Saccharomyces cerevisiae S288C: one gene and its partner. The protein of the gene in region 1 interacts with the protein of each later gene in a pairwise test. Each region holds a gene or a part of one and is shown in the gene's direction. Other genes may lie near its edges. The genes, in order: UBP7 and MYO3.

Evidence for each region.
Region 2: the proteins of UBP7 (region 1) and MYO3 interact in binary tests that used the Saccharomyces cerevisiae proteins (3 or more experiments, as listed by UniProt).

Annotation. Positions count from the first base shown.
Region 1 is NC_001141.2:34,920-51,806, forward strand, and holds UBP7 (ubiquitin-specific protease UBP7), read left to right. Parts: upstream 1-13,171; coding exon 13,172-16,387; downstream 16,388-16,887. Other genes in the region: YIL163C (uncharacterized protein), read right to left, coding at 1,980-2,333; beta-fructofuranosidase SUC2, read left to right, coding at 2,466-4,064; SMU2 (Smu2p), read left to right, coding at 4,514-5,221; POT1 (acetyl-CoA C-acyltransferase), read right to left, coding at 5,272-6,525; formin BNR1, read left to right, coding at 6,906-11,033; AIM20 (Aim20p), read left to right, coding at 11,282-11,896; COA1 (Coa1p), read right to left, coding at 12,030-12,623; ATG44 (mitofissin), read left to right, coding at 12,771-12,779, 12,842-13,054; GUT2 (glycerol-3-phosphate dehydrogenase), read right to left, coding at 16,840-16,887. UniProt on the Saccharomyces cerevisiae protein: Involved in the sorting of ubiquitinated cargo proteins at the multivesicular body (MVB).
Region 2 is NC_001143.9:195,104-201,825, reverse strand, and holds MYO3 (myosin 3), read left to right. Parts: upstream 1-1,658; coding exon 1,659-5,477; downstream 5,478-6,722. Other genes in the region: PMU1 (putative phosphomutase), read left to right, coding at 55-942; SHE2 (She2p), read left to right, coding at 5,798-6,538. UniProt on the Saccharomyces cerevisiae protein: One of two redundant type-I myosins implicated in the organization of the actin cytoskeleton. Required for proper actin cytoskeleton polarization and for the internalization step in endocytosis.

The DNA of each region.
Region 1 (16,887 bases):
CATAGTGAAATGTGGCTCCAAAGTATAAGCGTAAATGCGTTTGCTTATCGAACCGCAAGTAACTTGTAATTTCACCTCTATAATTTCGAGCGGTTTTTAAGATACACCATGTTTCAAGTAACCACCTTTCGCCTTTTTCCTCTGTTATCGAACTTCCATCTGTAAAAAGTTCGCTTGCAGAAGAAAAAAGGCACTACACGGAAGAGGACTGATAATTAATGAAAATCAAGCTATGATCAAACAACTACTGGCTCTAATATATGGTTTCGGCTACATAATCTAATTGTCATATCTGTTATCTCGACACTCGTCTCTCGATAAACGAGTTCTTCACTGTTGCTAGGTGCAGTGGTCGGCCATAGTTATCCATACAAAATTCCAATTTCTTACGCGCATAGCAGTCGATACATGCAAACATCTCGACTATTCTGGCGATAGCAGTACCAACAATCACCAGCACAAATTTTGTCACCTGTGCTTTGCTAGAGTTACTTCAGTACTAATTAGATTATAATATTTTGCAGCATTTATTGGTATAGAAAGAAAAGCTCGAGCACTACCAACTTTTATCTGATATACCGAAAAATGCATAAATATCTTCTCTAGTTTGTGCGTTTTCTTGTCGCCCTACCTCACAAAAGAGAAGTACTGATGGCTAATAATTGTTGGATCGATTCATTGTATCTCTTAAATGTCAACAGAGCATAAGTCAGACTCTTTGCCATTTTTAAAAAGCTGCGAAGGCGAACGTGACTACGGGGTGCGGGTTTTTGTATTGCTAATGTAGCATGACAGCTTATCCAATGTTTTGTTGTGTTCATTCAAACTATTTTGAGCCTCACTTCAATTTTGTTTGACTACTAACATGGCAGCATGCGTCGTTTCTAGGTGCTAGCCAGGCTGTGAGAACGTAAAATTAGCCTATGTTCAACATTCTCTGCTTTTCAATGTCACTGTTCATTTTGTTACTATGAAAGTAGTTCGTCGCAATTTGTACTTTTCTTCGAAAGTCTTCTTTTGCAGTAGATGAAGTGTGTTCTGAGAAATTGATGCTTTCAAATGGCCTTAAAAAATTTTTGTATCATAGCTAACAACATACTGTTGCGCCAGGGGAAGTGAAATCATGGTTGTATATTACAATAGCATTATGTGCATTTACCAAGTATGGAAAAGCGGAAAGTGTGAAAGAAGTTTATGAAAAAAGCGGAAAATAAAAAAAAAAAGTTTATTTTCCTGTGACTTCTGGGAAGCAGTTAGACCTCCTTCGCTGTATTCTTAGGTGCTATACCTCATTTCCACGATGGTAATAGACGATCAGTCTATTAATGCGCTAAAGAACGTAGAAAAGTTATTAACTGAAGAAGCTTTGCTAATGCCGTCGCACATTAAACGGCTAGACATTGCCTTGAATAGGAAGCCGAATAATCTACGAAATATCATGGAGCTTCAGGGCCTTGCATATACTATAGTAAAAAAAAAACTAAGTTTTCCCCTGTAGTAAACAGGGAGATACCGTACGGAGGTCTGAATTCCCTACAGAAGTAGCTGTAAAAATTCAGAATTCGCAACAACCTATAATTGAGTTAAGTGCCTTTCCAAGCTAAAAAGTTTGAGGTTATAGGGGCTTAGCATCCACACGTCACAATCTCGGGTATCGAGTATAGTATGTAGAATTACGGCAGGAGGTTTCCCAATGAACAAAGGACAGGGGCACGGTGAGCTGTCGAAGGTATCCATTTTATCATGTTTCGTTTGTACAAGCACGACATACTAAGACATTTACCGTATGGGAGTTGTTGTCCTAGCGTAGTTCTCGCTCCCCCAGCAAAGCTCAAAAAAGTACGTCATTTAGAATAGTTTGTGAGCAAATTACCAGTCGGTATGCTACGTTAGAAAGGCCCACAGTATTCTTCTACCAAAGGCGTGCCTTTGTTGAACTCGATCCATTATGAGGGCTTCCATTATTCCCCGCATTTTTATTACTCTGAACAGGAATAAAAAGAAAAAACCCAGTTTAGGAAATTATCCGGGGGCGAAGAAATACGCGTAGCGTTAATCGACCCCACGTCCAGGGTTTTTCCATGGAGGTTTCTGGAAAAACTGACGAGGAATGTGATTATAAATCCCTTTATGTGATGTCTAAGACTTTTAAGGTACGCCCGATGTTTGCCTATTACCATCATAGAGACGTTTCTTTTCGAGGAATGCTTAAACGACTTTGTTTGACAAAAATGTTGCCTAAGGGCTCTATAGTAAACCATTTGGAAGAAAGATTTGACGACTTTTTTTTTTTGGATTTCGATCCTATAATCCTTCCTCCTGAAAAGAAACATATAAATAGATATGTATTATTCTTCAAAACATTCTCTTGTTCTTGTGCTTTTTTTTTACCATATATCTTACTTTTTTTTTTCTCTCAGAGAAACAAGCAAAACAAAAAGCTTTTCTTTTCACTAACGTATATGATGCTTTTGCAAGCTTTCCTTTTCCTTTTGGCTGGTTTTGCAGCCAAAATATCTGCATCAATGACAAACGAAACTAGCGATAGACCTTTGGTCCACTTCACACCCAACAAGGGCTGGATGAATGACCCAAATGGGTTGTGGTACGATGAAAAAGATGCCAAATGGCATCTGTACTTTCAATACAACCCAAATGACACCGTATGGGGTACGCCATTGTTTTGGGGCCATGCTACTTCCGATGATTTGACTAATTGGGAAGATCAACCCATTGCTATCGCTCCCAAGCGTAACGATTCAGGTGCTTTCTCTGGCTCCATGGTGGTTGATTACAACAACACGAGTGGGTTTTTCAATGATACTATTGATCCAAGACAAAGATGCGTTGCGATTTGGACTTATAACACTCCTGAAAGTGAAGAGCAATACATTAGCTATTCTCTTGATGGTGGTTACACTTTTACTGAATACCAAAAGAACCCTGTTTTAGCTGCCAACTCCACTCAATTCAGAGATCCAAAGGTGTTCTGGTATGAACCTTCTCAAAAATGGATTATGACGGCTGCCAAATCACAAGACTACAAAATTGAAATTTACTCCTCTGATGACTTGAAGTCCTGGAAGCTAGAATCTGCATTTGCCAATGAAGGTTTCTTAGGCTACCAATACGAATGTCCAGGTTTGATTGAAGTCCCAACTGAGCAAGATCCTTCCAAATCTTATTGGGTCATGTTTATTTCTATCAACCCAGGTGCACCTGCTGGCGGTTCCTTCAACCAATATTTTGTTGGATCCTTCAATGGTACTCATTTTGAAGCGTTTGACAATCAATCTAGAGTGGTAGATTTTGGTAAGGACTACTATGCCTTGCAAACTTTCTTCAACACTGACCCAACCTACGGTTCAGCATTAGGTATTGCCTGGGCTTCAAACTGGGAGTACAGTGCCTTTGTCCCAACTAACCCATGGAGATCATCCATGTCTTTGGTCCGCAAGTTTTCTTTGAACACTGAATATCAAGCTAATCCAGAGACTGAATTGATCAATTTGAAAGCCGAACCAATATTGAACATTAGTAATGCTGGTCCCTGGTCTCGTTTTGCTACTAACACAACTCTAACTAAGGCCAATTCTTACAATGTCGATTTGAGCAACTCGACTGGTACCCTAGAGTTTGAGTTGGTTTACGCTGTTAACACCACACAAACCATATCCAAATCCGTCTTTGCCGACTTATCACTTTGGTTCAAGGGTTTAGAAGATCCTGAAGAATATTTGAGAATGGGTTTTGAAGTCAGTGCTTCTTCCTTCTTTTTGGACCGTGGTAACTCTAAGGTCAAGTTTGTCAAGGAGAACCCATATTTCACAAACAGAATGTCTGTCAACAACCAACCATTCAAGTCTGAGAACGACCTAAGTTACTATAAAGTGTACGGCCTACTGGATCAAAACATCTTGGAATTGTACTTCAACGATGGAGATGTGGTTTCTACAAATACCTACTTCATGACCACCGGTAACGCTCTAGGATCTGTGAACATGACCACTGGTGTCGATAATTTGTTCTACATTGACAAGTTCCAAGTAAGGGAAGTAAAATAGAGGTTATAAAACTTATTGTCTTTTTTATTTTTTTCAAAAGCCATTCTAAAGGGCTTTAGCTAACGAGTGACGAATGTAAAACTTTATGATTTCAAAGAATACCTCCAAACCATTGAAAATGTATTTTTATTTTTATTTTCTCCCGACCCCAGTTACCTGGAATTTGTTCTTTATGTACTTTATATAAGTATAATTCTCTTAAAAATTTTTACTACTTTGCAATAGACATCATTTTTTCACGTAATAAACCCACAATCGTAATGTAGTTGCCTTACACTACTAGGATGGACCTTTTTGCCTTTATCTGTTTTGTTACTGACACAATGAAACCGGGTAAAGTATTAGTTATGTGAAAATTTAAAAGCATTAAGTAGAAGTATACCATATTGTAAAAAAAAAAAGCGTTGTCTTCTACGTAAAAGTGTTCTCAAAAAGAAGTAGTGAGGGAAATGGATACCAAGCTATCTGTAACAGGAGCTAAAAAATCTCAGGGAAAAGCTTCTGGTTTGGGAAACGAAGGAACTCCAATCGGGAATGAGGAGAGCACAAATAAAGCTAAAAATGGAAATAAAAAGCGGAATAAAAATCGAAACAGAAATAAGAAGACAGAGACAAAGGAACAAAATGAACCTAAACCTGTGACTGGAGGGGAAGAAGTGAGAGTCGAGAAATCTCAAGCGAAAAACAGAAGGCGGAAAAACAATAATGGAGCTAATAAAAAGAATACCCTACACTACTCAAAGGAAATTAATGTAGAAGAGCGAAAACAAATCGCAAAAAGGCAAGAAGAAATCGAACAATGCATTCACACCTTATCCGATTTTAAACTGTTTAAAAAGGGTAAGCACGTTACCTCATATGGCTATCGAATCTCCCCCATGACAGACTCCGGTAAGATTTCTTTGAAAATTTTATTCAACATACCTTTGGATTATCCAAAGGCCCCAATAAAACTAACGATGAAAAGTAATGAAGAAGTTTCCTCTTACATGGACACCGTGATAGCGAATTTCAACTGGAAAGCCCGTCAATTGGTTAAGGAGGACTGGAGGATATTATCTCAAATAAACTATTTGGTTAGTGAGTTAGAAATATTGAAAATGGAAAATTATAAACAAATTGATAAACTACGTAATAGCTTTTACAAAACCATATAAATATGAGCATAATAAAAAGGGAGAATATTAACTATTATCAAGTATTAAAACTATTCTTTAATAAAGATGGCGGCGGCACCCATACCAGTACCGATACACATACTAACAACCCCGATTTGATCCTTTTTCAGTTCTCTTAGTATGGTAGCTACTTGCCTTGCGCCAGTACAACCCAAGGGATGGCCTAACGCGATTGCACCACCTCTTGGATTTACTTTATTCAAATCGATGCCCAGTTTATGGATGCAGTATAATGCTTGGGCCGCGAATGCTTCATTTATTTCAAAAATATCGATATCTTGGACTTGCAAGCCAGTAGCTTCCAGGACTTTTGGTATGGCGTATGCAGGGCCCACACCCATGATTTCAGGGGGAACCCCCACTGTTTGAAAATCGATGTAGCGACCTAGCACAGGCAGATTTAACTGGTTGGCTACGGACCTGCGGGCTAACAAGACACCTGCCACACCATCGGAGACCTGGGATGCATTGCCCGCAGTTGTGGTTCCTCTGTCTTTGATAAAGGCAGGCCTGATGCTTGAAAGCGACTCCGCAGTGACGTTAGGGCGTGGCCCTTCGTCCGACTGGCAAATTGAGCCATCTGGTAATTTTATAGGTAAAATTTCATCTTCGAAAAGCCCCTCATTTTTCGCCTTGTAAGCTTTTTGATATGAATTCGCAGCGAACTCGTCTTGATCCTTTCTACTGATCTTGAAATTAGCGGCAACATTCTCATTAGTAATGCCCATTGGTATTAGACATTTCTTCGCTTCTCGGTTTTTTTGCAGCTCTTCAGAGGAGATCATGCCCAAGGGATTGACGTTTTTGTAGTTATTGGTCATTGATTCCACTCCCAGCGCCAAACCAATATCAATTTGCCCAACCTTAATCTTGTTGGCAATATCGTTCACCGCCGTTAAACCTGAAGAACATTGTCTGTTTAAAGCGACAAATGGCGTCGAGTAGGGAATCCCACTTGCCAAGCATGCAGCCCTGTGTTCTGTAGCACCGGCTCCAACATTGAGAACATTTCCACAGGCAACTTCTTCGATTAAGTTCAAATCAGCCCTCAAAGGTTCCGGAAACCTCCCGATGAACTCATTGAGAAAGTTGTATAATAAGTAGTCTGTGTTTACATCTTTGAAGGCACCTTTAAAACCTTTACCGATGGCAGACCTGTTAGCAGCCACAATAACTACATCTTCGGGTCTTTTCTCCAGCAACGAGTTCTTCCTCTTCGATTCACCCTTACCCATGGCGCTCTCCACCAAATGATCCTTGATACTTTGTAGTCTTTGAGACATTGCTTTTATGTAGTGTTATATTCACTCTGTACTCAGAGCCACAAGAAATAACCATTCGATTTCAATAGAACTGAGATGCAAAAGTATACCCTATTTATATCTCTTCTTTCTAGTAAAACTCCAATAAATTTGAAACCAATAGAGGGAGAAAGGAAAAAAAAGCTGCGGTGTTAATACTATTATCCCCGTTTCCCTTTGATAGCGCCTTACACGGCGCTACCACATCATTACCCTCCTCATGTTGACGCGTCAAGTTTTTTTTCTTTTTTCGCTATTTGTGGCATAGGTTCAAAACTAGCAAATTCTTGATCTTTTGAAGATTACATAGTGATGATGATCGTGACACAAAAGCAGATAAAAAAATAGCACAATCATCAGCGATGGACTCTTCCCCGAACAAGAAGACGTACCGCTACCCTCGCAGATCGCTGTCACTTCACGCGCGTGATAGGGTCAGCGAAGCCCGTAAATTGGAAGAATTGAATTTGAACGATGGGCTGGTTGCCGCTGGCTTGCAGTTGGTCGGTGTAGCGTTAGAGAAACAAGGTACAGGATCACATATATACATGAAACAGAAGAATTTCTCAGCTAATGACGTTTCTTCGTCACCAATGGTTTCCGAAGAAGTGAACGGATCGGAAATGGATTTTAATCCGAAGTGCATGCCTCAGGACGCATCACTCGTCGAAAGAATGTTTGATGAGCTTTTAAAAGATGGAACTTTTTTTTGGGGGGCTGCTTATAAGAATTTACAAAACATCTCTCTACGAAGGAAATGGTTATTGATATGTAAAATCCGTAGTTCCAATCATTGGGGGAAAAAGAAAGTGACTTCGAGCACGACATACTCTACACATTTGGCCACTAATGAACTAGCTGAAAACGCACACTTTTTGGATGGCCTAGTTAGAAACCTTTCAACAGGTGGCATGAAGTTATCGAAGGCTCTATATAAACTAGAAAAATTCCTGCGAAAGCAAAGCTTTTTGCAACTTTTTCTCAAGGATGAAATTTACTTGACGACATTGATCGAAAAGACTTTGCCACTCATATCCAAGGAATTACAATTTGTTTATCTTCGGTGCTTTAAAATACTGATGAACAACCCACTGGCGAGAATAAGAGCACTACATTCTGAGCCTTTAATTCGCTGGTTCACCGAGCTTCTGACGGATCAAAATTCTAATTTGAAATGTCAGTTACTTTCTATGGAGTTACTTTTATTATTAACGTATGTTGAGGGTTCCACGGGTTGTGAGTTGATATGGGACCAGCTTTCCATATTATTCACCGATTGGCTAGAATGGTTTGACAAAATCCTTGCGGATGATATTGCAATTCATTCATCCCTTTATTTGAACTGGAACCAATTAAAAATAGACTATTCGACAACTTTCCTACTGCTAATAAACTCCATACTGCAAGGTTTCAACAACAAGACTGCACTAGAAATTTTGAATTTTTTGAAAAAGAATAATATACATAACACTATCACATTTTTAGAACTGGCCTATAAAGATGATCCTAATAGTGTCGTGATCATGGAACAAATAAAACAATTCAAATCCAAAGAATCTGCGATATTTGACTCGATGATAAAAACTACCAACGATACGAATTCGCTTCACCCAACAAAAGATATCGCAAGAATAGAAAGCGAGCCTCTATGTCTTGAAAATTGCCTGTTATTGAAGGCAAAAGATAGTCCCGTAGAGGCACCAATAAACGAGATTATTCAATCGCTGTGGAAAATCTTAGACTCTCAAAAACCATACTCAGAATCTATTAAACTATTAAAATTGATAAATTCTTTGCTGTTTTATCTCATAGATTCCTTTCAAGTGTCAACGAATCCTTCTTTTGATGAAACCTTGGAGTCCGCAGAAAATGTGGATTATGTTTTTCAAGATTCTGTTAATAAATTGTTGGATTCTCTACAATCTGATGAAATTGCTAGAAGAGCGGTCACAGAAATTGATGATCTTAATGCTAAGATTTCTCATTTGAATGAAAAATTAAATTTAGTAGAAAATCATGATAAAGATCATTTAATAGCAAAACTAGATGAAAGTGAATCTTTGATATCTCTGAAAACCAAGGAAATTGAAAATCTGAAACTGCAGTTGAAGGCAACCAAGAAAAGACTAGACCAAATTACCACGCATCAAAGGTTATATGACCAGCCACCTTCATTGGCAAGTAGCAACTTGAGTATTGCCGGCTCGATAATAAAAAATAATAGTCATGGAAATATCATTTTCCAAAATTTAGCAAAAAAGCAACAGCAGCAGCAAAAAATTTCTCTGCCCAAGCGTTCAACTAGTCTACTAAAAAGTAAAAGAGTTACGTCCCTTTCATCATATTTAACTGATGCAAATAACGAAAATGAGTCCCAAAATGAATCCGAAGATAAATCAAAAGACTCATTATTTCAAAGATCTACGTCAACCATTAATTTTAATATCCCTTCTATGAAAAATATTACTAATATGCAAAATGTCTCTCTAAATTCGATACTTTCAGAGTTGGAATTTTCAAATAGCCTAGGAACACAACCTAATTACCAATCGTCTCCCGTGTTGTCTTCGGTTTCTTCTTCACCAAAACTTTTCCCTCGACTTTCCTCAGATAGTCTTGATAATGGAATCCAACTAGTACCTGAAGTTGTTAAACTACCTCAACTTCCACCGCCCCCTCCTCCACCTCCCCCTCCTCCACTTCCACAGTCTCTTTTGACTGAAGCAGAAGCTAAACCGGATGGTGTTTCCTGTATTGCAGCACCTGCACCGCCACCCCTTCCAGATCTATTTAAAACTAAAACTTGTGGCGCCGTTCCACCACCACCACCGCCACCGCCTTTACCCGAGTCCTTGTCGATGAACAAAGGCCCCTCCAATCACGATTTAGTTACTCCTCCAGCTCCACCTTTACCAAATGGTCTTCTTTCTTCCTCCTCAGTGTCTATCAATCCAACGACAACCGATTTAAAACCACCTCCAACTGAAAAGCGATTGAAGCAAATCCACTGGGATAAGGTGGAGGATATCAAAGACACACTTTGGGAAGACACGTTTCAACGCCAAGAAACAATCAAAGAATTACAAACTGATGGTATATTCTCTCAGATTGAAGATATTTTTAAGATGAAAAGTCCGACTAAGATTGCAAATAAAAGGAACGCAGAATCCTCAATTGCCTTGTCTTCAAACAATGGCAAGTCTTCCAATGAGCTGAAGAAAATTTCATTCTTATCAAGAGATTTGGCTCAGCAATTTGGTATTAATTTACACATGTTTTCCCAATTATCTGATATGGAATTTGTTATGAAAGTATTGAACTGTGATAACGACATTGTCCAAAATGTTAACATACTGAAATTTTTTTGTAAAGAAGAGTTAGTAAATATACCAAAAAGTATGCTTAATAAGTACGAGCCATATTCACAGGGTAAGGATGGTAAAGCAGTAAGTGACTTACAAAGAGCTGACAGAATATTTTTGGAGTTGTGTATCAATTTAAGATTTTATTGGAATGCAAGATCAAAGAGTCTGCTGACATTGTCAACATACGAGAGAGATTATTACGATTTGATTTTCAAGTTACAAAAAATTGATGATGCAATTTCACACTTAAATCGTTCACCTAAATTTAAAAGTTTGATGTTTATTATCACGGAAATAGGCAATCATATGAATAAAAGAATTGTTAAGGGTATCAAATTGAAGTCATTGACTAAACTTGCCTTTGTCAGATCCAGTATTGATCAAAATGTATCATTTTTGCATTTTATTGAAAAAGTCATAAGAATAAAATATCCTGATATATACGGTTTTGTGGATGATTTGAAGAACATTGAAGATTTAGGTAAAATCTCACTAGAACACGTTGAATCAGAGTGTCATGAATTTCATAAAAAAATTGAGGATTTAGTTACTCAGTTTCAAGTAGGAAAGCTATCCAAAGAGGAGAACTTAGACCCCAGAGATCAAATTATTAAAAAGGTCAAGTTTAAGATTAATCGGGCCAAAACAAAAAGTGAATTATTGATTGGTCAATGTAAATTAACTTTAATAGATTTGAATAAACTGATGAAATATTACGGTGAAGATCCCAAAGATAAAGAGAGTAAAAACGAATTTTTCCAACCCTTTATTGAATTTTTAGCCATGTTTAAGAAATGTGCCAAGGAAAACATTGAAAAGGAGGAAATGGAAAGAGTGTACGAACAAAGGAAGAGCTTGTTAGATATGAGGACAAGCAGTAATAAGAAAAGCAATGGAAGTGATGAAAACGATGGTGAAAAAGTAAACAGGGATGCTGTTGATCTACTCATATCTAAATTACGCGAAGTAAAGAAGGATCCAGAACCTCTAAGAAGAAGAAAGAGTACAAAACTCAATGAAATAGCCATTAACGTACATGAAGGAGATGTAAAAACGAGAAAGGATGAAGATCACGTTTTACTAGAGAGAACGCATGCTATGCTGAACGATATTCAAAATATATAGTGAAGACTTAGTATTTTATGTAGTTGTGGAGCTTATATAAAGAAATGGACAATATTCGCAATCGCTTCTCAAAAGGGAAATATTTTCCCTTTTCGGGCGGTGGTCGTGTTGACAAATTTCCTAGTTAAGAACTAAGATTTGGAGATGGACAGATTCATTAATAAATTTCAAAATAAGCACAGAAAGCATCGAATTTTTAGCTCAAAACAATCTACTTTTCAATCATCAAAACAGACTATTGAATAAAGATGGGCAATGTGTCTGTGGCAGTGGGAACGGCAGTTGGGATTCCAATTGCTGTGGGCGTAATAATAGCCCTGATATTTTGGTGTAAATTACAACGACGTTACAAAAAAGAAGAGATTAGAGATGCTGATTTGGAGAAGATGGTAATGGAAGAAGTGGCAGTGTCGGTATATGATGGTTTTAAAGCCGAAATTAACAGCTCAAGTGAAGCTTCCACGATAAACGAAAAGGAAGCAAACCAGGATCTTAAACCCTGCCAAGAAAAAACCGCCAAGGCAGGGTACACACCAGCATACAGAAGGCAATTGAACGCTAGTATGGGGACTTTGCGTCCAAAAAAGCAGAGCACTGCATATACCAATGTCCCCGTCATTTTCAGCGGCGAAAAGGTGAATTATGGGATGGTCAGAGATCCTTCCTATAGTTTTATGTATCCACTGACGCTATCGCGCAAAGAAACGAGTAGTTTGAGATCAGCTTCTACGTCAAACTTGTCATCGAGCACAGAAAATACTGCGTTACACGAAGAAATAAAACTGGATGACCCATATGAAAACGATTTTACGAATTATACTGTCAACAAGAGAGAATTTATTGACAGCTTACGGCCACACTAATATATATGCATATAGATATATAAACGTACCTACATAGTTTTGCATTTGTATAGATACCCAGACCACTTGTAATAACGATAAAAATAAAATAATAATAAAGGATATTTACAGACAAATAGCACCATACTTGCTATTAAATTGGTGTCTTGGTATTTTCAGCTAGCAAATCGATCTTTTGGCCAGCGGCAGTGACGCTCCATTCATGAATCAAAAACTCTTCGTCGTGAGTGTTCCTATCGGCAACCAGTCTAACGGTTCCAGTAACGTTTTTGTCCCCCTTGATATAAAACGTAATGTTAATCCTACCCTTCACAGAGTTCAGTTCACCGTAGACCCAAGGGATGATACCATCAAATTCTATGCTCTCACCCAGTATGTTTTTAGTTGCTGGAGACCGTCTTATATAATACAGCGTGTTGGAGATAATGGGGGACTCCGTCTTTTCATAGTTGAAGATCAAAGATAGTGCGGACCCAATGGCCACAGAAAACAACAAAAATCCAGCTATTCGCTTTCTCCTCTCCGTGGTTGGGTCAGGCAATTCTCTGTCAATTCTCAATGGCCTGTTCTTGTCTTTCAAAACGATCTTGGCCTCATCTTCAGCGACACTATTATTGAATCTAGCGCTGGTAGAGAATGAGTGCAGCAAGGAACCACGCACTAGCACAGCCTTAGCTGCAGAAGGTGTCACTTTCGGCAACCCTTTAGTTACTAGTCTTAACATCATGTATAGTCTGTTTTATCTTTTACTTTTATGTCGTGGACTGGTACGGAGAGAAAGATCGAACTGTTTTAAAACTGGGATTAAAATGACAAGAAGGCGCTTTCTTTCTCTCCACAATGATCAAAACAAGAACAAGCAAAACGCAAAGAGATGACATTAGTAAGTACCCAAATGAGCTACTAACAACGCATCCGGTAATACTAACAAGAGAAATTGGTTAGGTAGGGAAACTAGTACACATATCCATAGATTTGGTCTTGGTATCAACGTGCCTCGCGGGGATTAAACGCAATACAGGTTTGACGCCTAAACTGGAGACTCTGGACAATCAGACTATGAGAAACTACATGAAGCGGTACTTGAACTTGGGAGAGTCTGTATACGACTATTCTGTTGCCACTTGTGGCTCCTCGACGTATTTCGCTAGGAAATAGGTACGTTTATATTCTATATATGTTGATAATATTTTGTATAACGGCACCCAGCCGGGGGCCAAAATTAATAACCGCAACTTAAAGAGCTATCGCTATCGATTACGCATAGAACTTTAAATGCTAGACGATGATAAGGGCACGGCCATGCATCCACATATAACGCCGTTCACGCCTGAGTACTCAAATGAATTACTGCGAAGGGTCCAGGACCTGTACCACGAAGATATCAAGCACTACTATCCGCAGCTAAAACTGGAGAAGCTGCTGGACCTTCTGGAGCATACAGAGTACCTATTCGAGTTATATCTAGATTCAATCCATCACGATAGGCCCAACGATGCACTGACAGCGTTTATCATTGGATGCTACTACGTGTTCTTAATTATTCCACAATCTTTGCAGTTCCAAACACGAAACAAGTCCTACAGCATCTATACAGATCTAAAAAAGATGTATGAGAATGAAATGAACATGACCAATGTTGTGCTTATGGTGAAGAAAGAAATCGGTGTGGTCCTAGATGAATCGGTTAAACACGGGGCCGGTATTGAGCACAGAATCACCAAGAAGAGGGCATTTTCAGTTCCAGCTGACGATCTTTCAGGTCAGGTAGCTTCACTATCACTTGACACCGCGGCACCGCAAGATCATGGCCTCAAAGGCACGTTTACTGAAGACGACGCAGAACAATCTTCACCTGTTTGGACAGCACCAAACTTAGAGCCCAACGACCAATTGAAACTGGCTTTATTGCCCGAAGTGATACCAACGCCAGCTTTTCGTGAGCCTGAAAGAAAGACAAGTGTTCCAGTGAGACCATCTGTTTTATTGGAAGATGTACCCTCCATATACCACGAGGATGACACTAGTTTCGCATCTTTGAACCCACCATTTCGAGAAATAACCGCAGATAGATCAGTAACTCATCGAAAGGATTCTTACCATTCTGTTTATATGGTGGATAGCGGCAACCTCAAGGAAGACAATGATGATCTGTTCAACGTTGAGAATGATGGCTTCATCCAGAGTTTGGATATTTTACAAAAGCAGAGTATAATCACAGCACCAGAATTGTTTAGTATTTTATCGAATCGCGTTGAACGTGAAAAGGTTTTACTCATCGACTTGAGAATACCACAAAGATCTGCAATAAATCACATTGTGGCTCCGAACTTAGTGAATGTGGATCCAAACTTGTTGTGGGACAAGCAGACGAACACACCTATCTACAAGGATGACATATTGGAACATTTACTGAAGGAGAATGAGAATTTTATAAACCGTAATAAATTTGATTACATTGTTTACTATACTGATGTGAAGACCTTCATGACTATAAATTTTGATTATGCATTTATTTTTTTTTATTTGATGCTGACTTCTCAGAAGACTCCTTTAACAACTGTACCTACTACCCTCTTAGGTGGGTACGAAAAATGGAAGAAAACTCTGCATTCGTATGCCCAGGAGTATCATATCTCTATTGAAGATTACTTGTACAGACCTTACTCACAGAAGGCGCGCTTACAACAGGAGCAGCAGCAGCAGCAGCAGCAGCCGGATTCTCAGGACTCTTTTTCCGCTAAGGAATCATCTACAAAAGTTCCTGAGCCTCCCTCCTGGAAGCCCCCTGACCTGCCTATAAGGTTAAGGAAACGTCCTCCACCTCCACCGCCTGTATCAATGCCCACAACCCCAGAAATTCCACCTCCTCTGCCCCCTAAGATAATGGTTCATTCACAAGTCAGTTCTATCTCTCGAAAGCCGCCAATACCAGCAAAGCAGCATGTCAAAAAGGAACAACTTAACTCCAATGAAATTATTCAAAGAAAAAGACAGCACCAGCATCAGCATTACGACCAACAAATATTACAACCGCAAAGGGCGTACAATATTCCAACTATTGAACGCAGTCCAAACGTATACGTTTCGTTGTCCATCACGGGACTAAGAAATTTGGGCAATACATGTTACATTAATAGTATGATACAATGTCTATTCGCTGCGAAAACATTCCGGACACTCTTCATTTCATCCAAATATAAGAGCTATCTGCAACCAATAAGGAGCAACGGATCTCATTATTCTCCTAAACTTTCGAATTCACTAAGTATGCTCTTCAACAAGATGTATCTAAATGGTGGTTGCTCAGTTGTCCCAACAGGATTTCTCAAAGTTATCAATCAATTGCGTCCCGATTTGAAAATTCCTGATGACCAACAGGATACCCAAGAGTTCCTAATGATACTTTTAGACAGGTTACACGATGAACTTTCCGACCAACAGCATGTAGCGAACGATTATCCGAATTTATTATTGTATAATGCAGATGCCCTAAAGGTTTCAAACAACGAATATAAGCACTGGTTTGACAAAAATGTCATTGGTAATGGTATATCTCCTATTGATGACATTTTTCAAGGGCAAATGGAGAACAGCTTACAATGTAAAAGGTGCGGTTACACTACTTTCAACTATAGCACATTTTATGTTTTATCACTGGCTATACCAAGACGTTCCATGAAGTTGAGTAAACTTGGTAGGTCTACTGAGAAAAGAGTTAAGTTAGAGGATTGTATTAATATGTTTACAAGCGATGAGGTACTCTCTGGTGAAAATGCATGGGATTGCCCACGCTGTGGCCCCACGGCGTCTGTGTCTACATCTGTGTCTGCATTAGAGAATGAGCCATCCATTGTTAAGAGTAAAAAGAAAAAAAGTCGGTTTTTTACATTACATACAGGAACCAAGCGTCGTCATCTCGACTTTTTTGGAGACGGTATTACTGAGGGCCATAATAGCAATAATAATAATACGACAATCTTTGAACGAGAAAGGTCCAGATCACCCTTCAGGATGTTGGGTGGTAGTGGGAAGAGGTCCAGTTCCAGTACACCGTTCAGTACTGGTGGTAATGATAGTAACAACTCGAGTGATTACAAGAACAAAAAATTGACAACAGTGAAAACGATAAATTTTGTAACTTTACCAAAAATCTTAGTCATCCATTTATCGAGATTTTATTACGATTTGACCAAGAAAAATAACACCGTCGTAACATATCCATTGATACTAAACATTATATTGAAAAACAATGACACTATGAAATATAAGCTATTTGGAGTGGTTAACCATACAGGCACATTAATCAGTGGCCATTACACGTCACTGGTGAATAAAGACCTTGAACACAATGTGAATATTGGGCGTTCTAAATGGTACTATTTCGACGATGAGGTTGTCAAGGCAGATAGGAAACATGGATCTGATAAAAACTTGAAAATTTCAAGTAGCGATGTCTACGTATTGTTTTATGAAAGGGTTTATGACTAGCAAAATTTTGCATTTTTTTTTTTGCACCATAAATATGTATTGCGTATGCACCAGGACGTTGAAGAATATTATTTAGTGTTTCTATATTTTATGATAAAACTAGAGATAAAGGGGATAATTAAAACGATATTAAAACGGAAGTCTACACAATGATTATATAGATTATATTATGTATTGGAAATAGAATATAAACACTAGGAAGGTCATAATTTGAAGATCAATTGTAGTAGTAGAGTCTATTACCTCTTTTTTTTTTTTTCTTCATATATTTTTGTAGTTTTTTTAGTTTACTTTAACTCTTCCATTAAGGAAAATAGGTAATAATAGCGATTTCATTGCCATTACCACCATTATTATTATTGTTATTACTATCATTATTATTATTATCATCATTACCATTATTATTACTCTTGTGAATGTTATCTTTGTCACCCTTAACTATCATGATCGATTTAGACACCAAACGTCTTGATGAAGTTCACAGTTTTTTCAAGTTCCCA
Region 2 (6,722 bases), on another chromosome or scaffold:
TAACGATTTCTTTCCAAGACTCTGCTGCGTGAAATCACCAACAGTTATTCAACAATGTCACTCAGAGCAGTCCCAGGATATTTTGCTGCATATCCAAGTGAGGGTTTTCAAGGATTAGACTCCACGAAATATGATCACTTAGAATTGATTAACCATAAGAATTGGAAGGAACTGTATCATGCTATCCCTAGAAATACCAAAAATCGCCACTATAAGCTGTTGATTTTAGCTAGGCATGGTCAAGGTTACCACAATGCTGCCATACTGAGGTACGGTATGGAGAAATGGGACGCCTATTGGTCGTTGCTTTCGGGCGATGAACATGGAGAGTGGCTTGACTCTAAACTGACACCTCTGGGTAAAGATCAAGTTAGAAGAACAGGATCGAATGTCTTGCTACCAATGGCAAAGCAATTAGGTATGCTACCTCATGTGTTTTTCAGTTCTCCAATGAGAAGATGTCTCGAAACATTCATTGAGTCGTGGACACCAGTGTTAGCGGAGACGCAAGAATTACCGGCCGGAACTAAAATTTCTACACGCATTATAGAAGGTCTAAGGGAGACGTTGGGCTCTCACACTTGTGACAAAAGAGTGGCTCACTCAATGGCAGTTGACGAATACCAGGATTTCAGCACGGAATCGGGCCACACTGTACATTGGCAATATGTACCAGATTACCCAGAAGATGATGAATTGTGGCTTCCTGATCATAGAGAAACGTGTGCTGAAATGGACAAACGTACACTGAATGGATTATTTGAACTATTTAATCAATTGTCAAGCGAAGAAAAATTCATCTCGCTTACTTGTCACTCAGGTGTCATTCAAAGTGTCTTGAGAAACTTACAGCATCCTCCAATTTATAACCTGGACACAGGTAAAGTCGTCGCTGTCGTCGTGGAAGTACCAGTCAACACGGCCGATCGCGGCAGGCTCTGAATTTTCCCACAGCGCCCATTCGGGACTTTCAAATATGTGGGTAATTTAAATAATTTTTTATAGATATAATAGAGTGGATGGAATAAAACCCTTTCTTTTCAAATAATGTGTTAAGCACTTTGAGAAATGGTTGAACCTTTCACTTTGATCATCGCTTTCTCAAGCTAGGTGAGAACATACATTTGAGTATAAAATAAAAAATGCATATGTGAAATTATATGAATGCAAAGGGTTCTTAGTTCCTTTTTTATTCTTGTATAGTTTTCACCGCTATGTCCACTCCCTCTTTTATACTATACTAATCGATGCCACAGAAAATATAGGCTTGGAAGTAATAAGCCCCCTTCATATACTTTCGTACAAGAAAATGTAACCGGTACATTAAAACAAACTTCAGTAGCCTCCCCTAATCACTCGGCAGGCAGACCTACGATCTTGAACAACTATTATATAGTAGCAAGATGCTAGCTCCATCGCTTTTCTAACTAAAGGTAAACTGATCGATTTGCATTTATATAATAAACCTCGGGAAGAGCTTTACCGAAAAAGGAAACCGTTTGCTGTGACAAGTAAATATAGAGTAATCTATTATAAAGGGTTAAAGCAATCTCGATTCAATTGACCGCGAGCAAATTAACAACAATCCAGTTATAAAACATTAATTTGCTGATCACATTTGAATCAAAAAAAGTAAAGAGAAATACTTATAACCGTCAATGGCTGTCATAAAAAAGGGAGCACGCAGAAAGGACGTTAAGGAGCCCAAGAAGAGATCTGCAAAAATCAAAAAGGCTACATTTGATGCAAATAAAAAGAAAGAAGTAGGTATTTCTGATTTGACACTTTTGTCAAAAATATCTGATGAATCTATCAATGAAAATTTGAAAAAAAGATTTAAGAATGGAATTATTTATACCTATATTGGCCATGTGTTAATTAGTGTAAATCCGTTCCGCGATTTGGGAATATATACAAATGCCGTTTTAGAGTCATATAAAGGAAAAAATAGACTTGAAGTTCCACCACACGTGTTTGCTATTGCGGAATCTATGTACTACAATCTCAAATCATACAATGAAAATCAGTGTGTTATTATTTCTGGTGAGTCTGGTGCCGGTAAGACAGAAGCAGCCAAACGTATTATGCAATATATTGCAGCTGCATCTAATAGCCATTCAGAATCGATTGGGAAGATCAAAGATATGGTTCTTGCTACTAATCCACTTCTCGAGTCATTCGGTTGTGCTAAAACTCTGCGGAACAACAATTCTTCAAGGCACGGGAAGTATCTAGAAATTAAATTCAACTCACAATTTGAACCTTGCGCAGGTAATATCACAAATTATTTGCTAGAGAAACAAAGAGTTGTTGGTCAAATTAAGAACGAAAGAAACTTTCATATTTTTTACCAATTCACTAAGGGAGCATCTGATACATATAAACAGATGTTCGGTGTGCAAATGCCTGAGCAATATATTTACACTGCTGCGGCTGGCTGTACTACTGCAGATACAATTGATGACGTAAAAGATTACGAAGGCACGTTAGAGGCTATGAGAACCATTGGTTTAGTCCAGGAAGAACAAGACCAAATTTTTAGGATGCTGGCGGCAATTCTGTGGATTGGTAACATTTCCTTTATAGAAAATGAAGAGGGCAATGCTCAGGTAGGAGATACCTCAGTGACTGATTTTGTCGCTTATTTGTTGCAGGTTGATGCTTCGTTACTGGTAAAATGTTTAGTGGAAAGAATCATGCAAACCAGTCATGGAATGAAGAGAGGCTCAGTTTATCATGTACCTTTGAACCCAGTCCAAGCAACTGCGGTGAGAGACGCCCTTGCTAAGGCAATTTATAATAATTTATTCGACTGGATTGTCGATAGGGTTAACGTATCTTTGCAGGCATTTCCTGGTGCTGATAAATCAATTGGGATTCTAGACATTTACGGCTTCGAAATTTTTGAACACAACTCTTTTGAGCAAATATGTATCAATTATGTTAATGAAAAGTTACAACAGATTTTTATCCAATTGACTTTGAAGGCTGAGCAAGAAACTTATGAAAGAGAAAAAATCAAATGGACCCCCATCAAATACTTTGACAATAAAGTTGTCTGTGATTTAATCGAGGCGAAAAATCCACCGGGCATTCTTGCTGCAATGAATGACTCTATTGCAACTGCTCATGCAGACTCCAATGCCGCTGACCAGGCGTTTGCTCAACGACTTAACTTATTTAATTCAAATCCATACTTCGAATTAAGGGCCAACAAATTTGTTATTAAACATTACGCTGGAGATGTCACCTATGACATCAATGGTATCACCGATAAAAATAAAGACCAACTTCAAAAGGACCTAATTGAATTAATTGGAACAACGACAAATACATTCCTTTCCACAATTTTTCCTGATGATGTTGACAAAGATTCAAAGAGACGGCCTCCAACAGCAGGTGACAAAATTATTAAAAGTGCAAATGAACTGGTGGAAACTTTGTCAAAAGCTGAGCCTTCCTATATCAGAACAATCAAGCCTAATCAAACTAAATCACCAAATGATTATGATGATCACCAAGTGCTACATCAAGTAAAATATTTGGGTTTGCAAGAAAATGTTCGTATCAGGAGAGCCGGTTTCGCTTACAGACAAACTTTCGAAAAATTCGTCGAAAGATTTTATTTACTATCTCCAGATTGTTCATATGCTGGTGATTACACTTGGGATGGGGACACCCTTGAGGCAGTCAAGCTTATTTTAAGAGATGCCATGATACCAGAAAAAGAATTTCAACTTGGAGTGACAAGCGTATTCATTAAAACTCCAGAATCTCTATTTGCTCTAGAAGACATGCGTGATAAATACTGGTACAACATGGCTGCTAGAATCCAGAGAGCATGGAGAAGGTTTCTTCAAAGGCGTATTGATGCTGCGATAAAAATTCAGCGTACTATCAGAGAGAAAAAGGGTGGAAACAAGTACGTCAAGCTTCGTGATTATGGAACCAAACTTTTAGCGGGTAAAAAAGAGAGAAGATCCATGTCTTTACTTGGATACAGGGCTTTTATGGGTGATTACTTATCCTGCAATGAGTCTAAAACGAAAGGATCGTACATCAGAAGACAGGTAGGAATTAAGGATAAAGTTGTTTTTTCGATAAAGGGGGAATGCCTGCACTCTAAATTTGGCAGATCAGCTCAAAGATTGAAAAAAGTGTTTATCTTAACAAAAAAGACATTTTATATTATTGGACAAACACGGGAACAGAATGCTATGAAATATACACAAGATTATAAAATTGATGTCGGTAAAATTAAACAAGTGAGCTTAACAAACCTCCAAGACGATTGGATGGGCGTTATCCTTGTTAATAGTACACAATCCGATCCACTCATTAACACGCCTTTCAAGACGGAATTAATGACACGTTTGAAAAAATTAAATGAAAAGATAATGATAAAAGTTGGTCCCACGATTGAGTATCACAAACAACCAAACAAGTTGCACACTGTCCGCTCAAAGATAAGCGATTCAGCACCGAAATACGGTGACATCTACAAGTCAAGTACAATATACGTGCGTCGTGGACACCCTGCTAACTCCAAATCGAATAAAAAACCTAAGAATCCAGGTGGGTTGAGCGGGAAACCTATCAAAAGCAAAAAGAGTAAACACAAATCTACTCATAAGCATACACATAGCCATAGAAGTCATAGGGATGCTGCAAAAAAGCAACCTCTCCCTTCGCAAAAACCTGTGAATCCGTTATCTTTGGCAGCTACCGCTGCACAGGCAGCATACAATCCTAAACCGGATAAGACCGTACCAATAAAGTCATCTGCAATCCCTGCTGCAAAAGTAAGCTCGAAACACAGCTCAAAACCCTCATCGAAGGAAAAAGTCGCAGTAAAGAAAGCCTCCTCAAGCCACAAATCCTCATCCGCCAAGCAAAACCAGGTATCGATGCCACCTTCAAAAGGGGTTGAAAAAAATAAAGAACCGTTAAAGGAGACAACTGCAACTGCAACTGCAAACATACCAATACCACCACCCCCTCCCCCCATGGGCCAACCAAAGGATCCGAAATTCGAAGCTGCATACGACTTTCCAGGTTCCGGATCATCTTCGGAGTTGCCATTAAAAAAGGGCGATATTGTATTTATAAGCAGAGATGAACCTAGTGGTTGGTCTTTAGCAAAGCTTCTCGATGGAAGCAAAGAAGGTTGGGTTCCTACTGCTTATATGACTCCTTATAAAGACACAAGAAATACGGTGCCTGTTGCAGCGACAGGGGCAGTGAATGACGTTACAAATCAGAAATCAAGCCAAATCGACAATACCATTTCAAGTGCACAAGAAGGTGTACAGTTTGGAAGTGCAACAGTTGGACCCACTAGTGATAATCAGAGTAATCCGGTGGGGACGTTTAGCGACGGTTTAGCTTCTGCATTGGCAGCAAGAGCAAACAAAATGCGGGCGGAAAGTGCTGACGATGATGATAATGACGATGGCGATGATGATGATGACTGGTAATTAACATGAATATATAGATGTTTAGTCTCTTATAGAATGGTTCTTCGTGCATGCCTCTTAACATACCAAAAGTGCATTACATATACTTTTAAACATACTCTCGCAGAAAGTTAAAGTCCCTTTTTTTTTTTTTTTTTCATTTTTTGTTTGTATTTTCCCGTTTTGAAAAACTCCCACTTTAATGCAGGACATCGTTCAAAACAAGCTTTAAAGATTTGACAGTAAAATCCTCACTTTACTCAAGACATTTTTCTCAAAAAAAGAGAAAGCACAGTAAACCCTCCTTAATTTTCCTTTTGCATAATACCAGACACTTAAAAATGAGCAAAGACAAAGATATCAAAGTCACTCCTGGAACTTGTGAATTAGTTGAACAAATACTCGCCTTACTCTCCCGGTATCTCTCATCTTATATTCACGTGCTGAACAAGTTCATCAGTCATTTGCGAAGGGTAGCTACGCTACGATTCGAGAGAACTACTTTGATTAAATTTGTTAAGAAATTGAGATTTTACAACGATTGTGTGTTAAGCTATAATGCATCAGAGTTTATCAATGAAGGTAAAAACGAATTAGACCCAGAGGCGGATTCGTTTGACAAGGTAATTTTACCAATAGCTTCAATGTTTGTTAAATGTGTTGAAACGTTTGACTTACTGAACTATTATCTAACGCAGTCATTACAAAAGGAAATTTTATCTAAAACTTTGAACGAGGACCTAACGCTAACAGCAGAGTCCATATTAGCCATTGACGATACCTACAATCATTTCGTGAAATTTTCTCAATGGATGATTGAGTCTTTGCGTATAGGCAGCAACCTGCTAGATTTAGAAGTTGTTCAATTTGCCATTAAATGCGCAGATGAGGACGGAACGAATATCGGAGAAACTGATAATATCTTCTTGCAGGAGATTCTTCCTGTCAACTCCGAAGAAGAATTTCAGACCTTGTCAGCTGCGTGGCACTCCATTTTAGATGGTAAGCTGAGCGCCTTGGACGAAGAATTTGATGTTGTCGCTACTAAATGGCATGACAAATTTGGTAAATTGAAAAACTGAGGCCTTCAGTTTTTAGCTCAAAAAGAGCAAATAAGTACCACTAGTTAATAGAACATATATATATACATGAATAGCCTCATCACATAGCACAGAAAGTAAGCTTTCAAAACACTGATGATCGGCTCTTATTCTGGCGTACTCATTTTCAGCATCTCAAACCGCGCTGTTTTTTTCTCACTTTTTG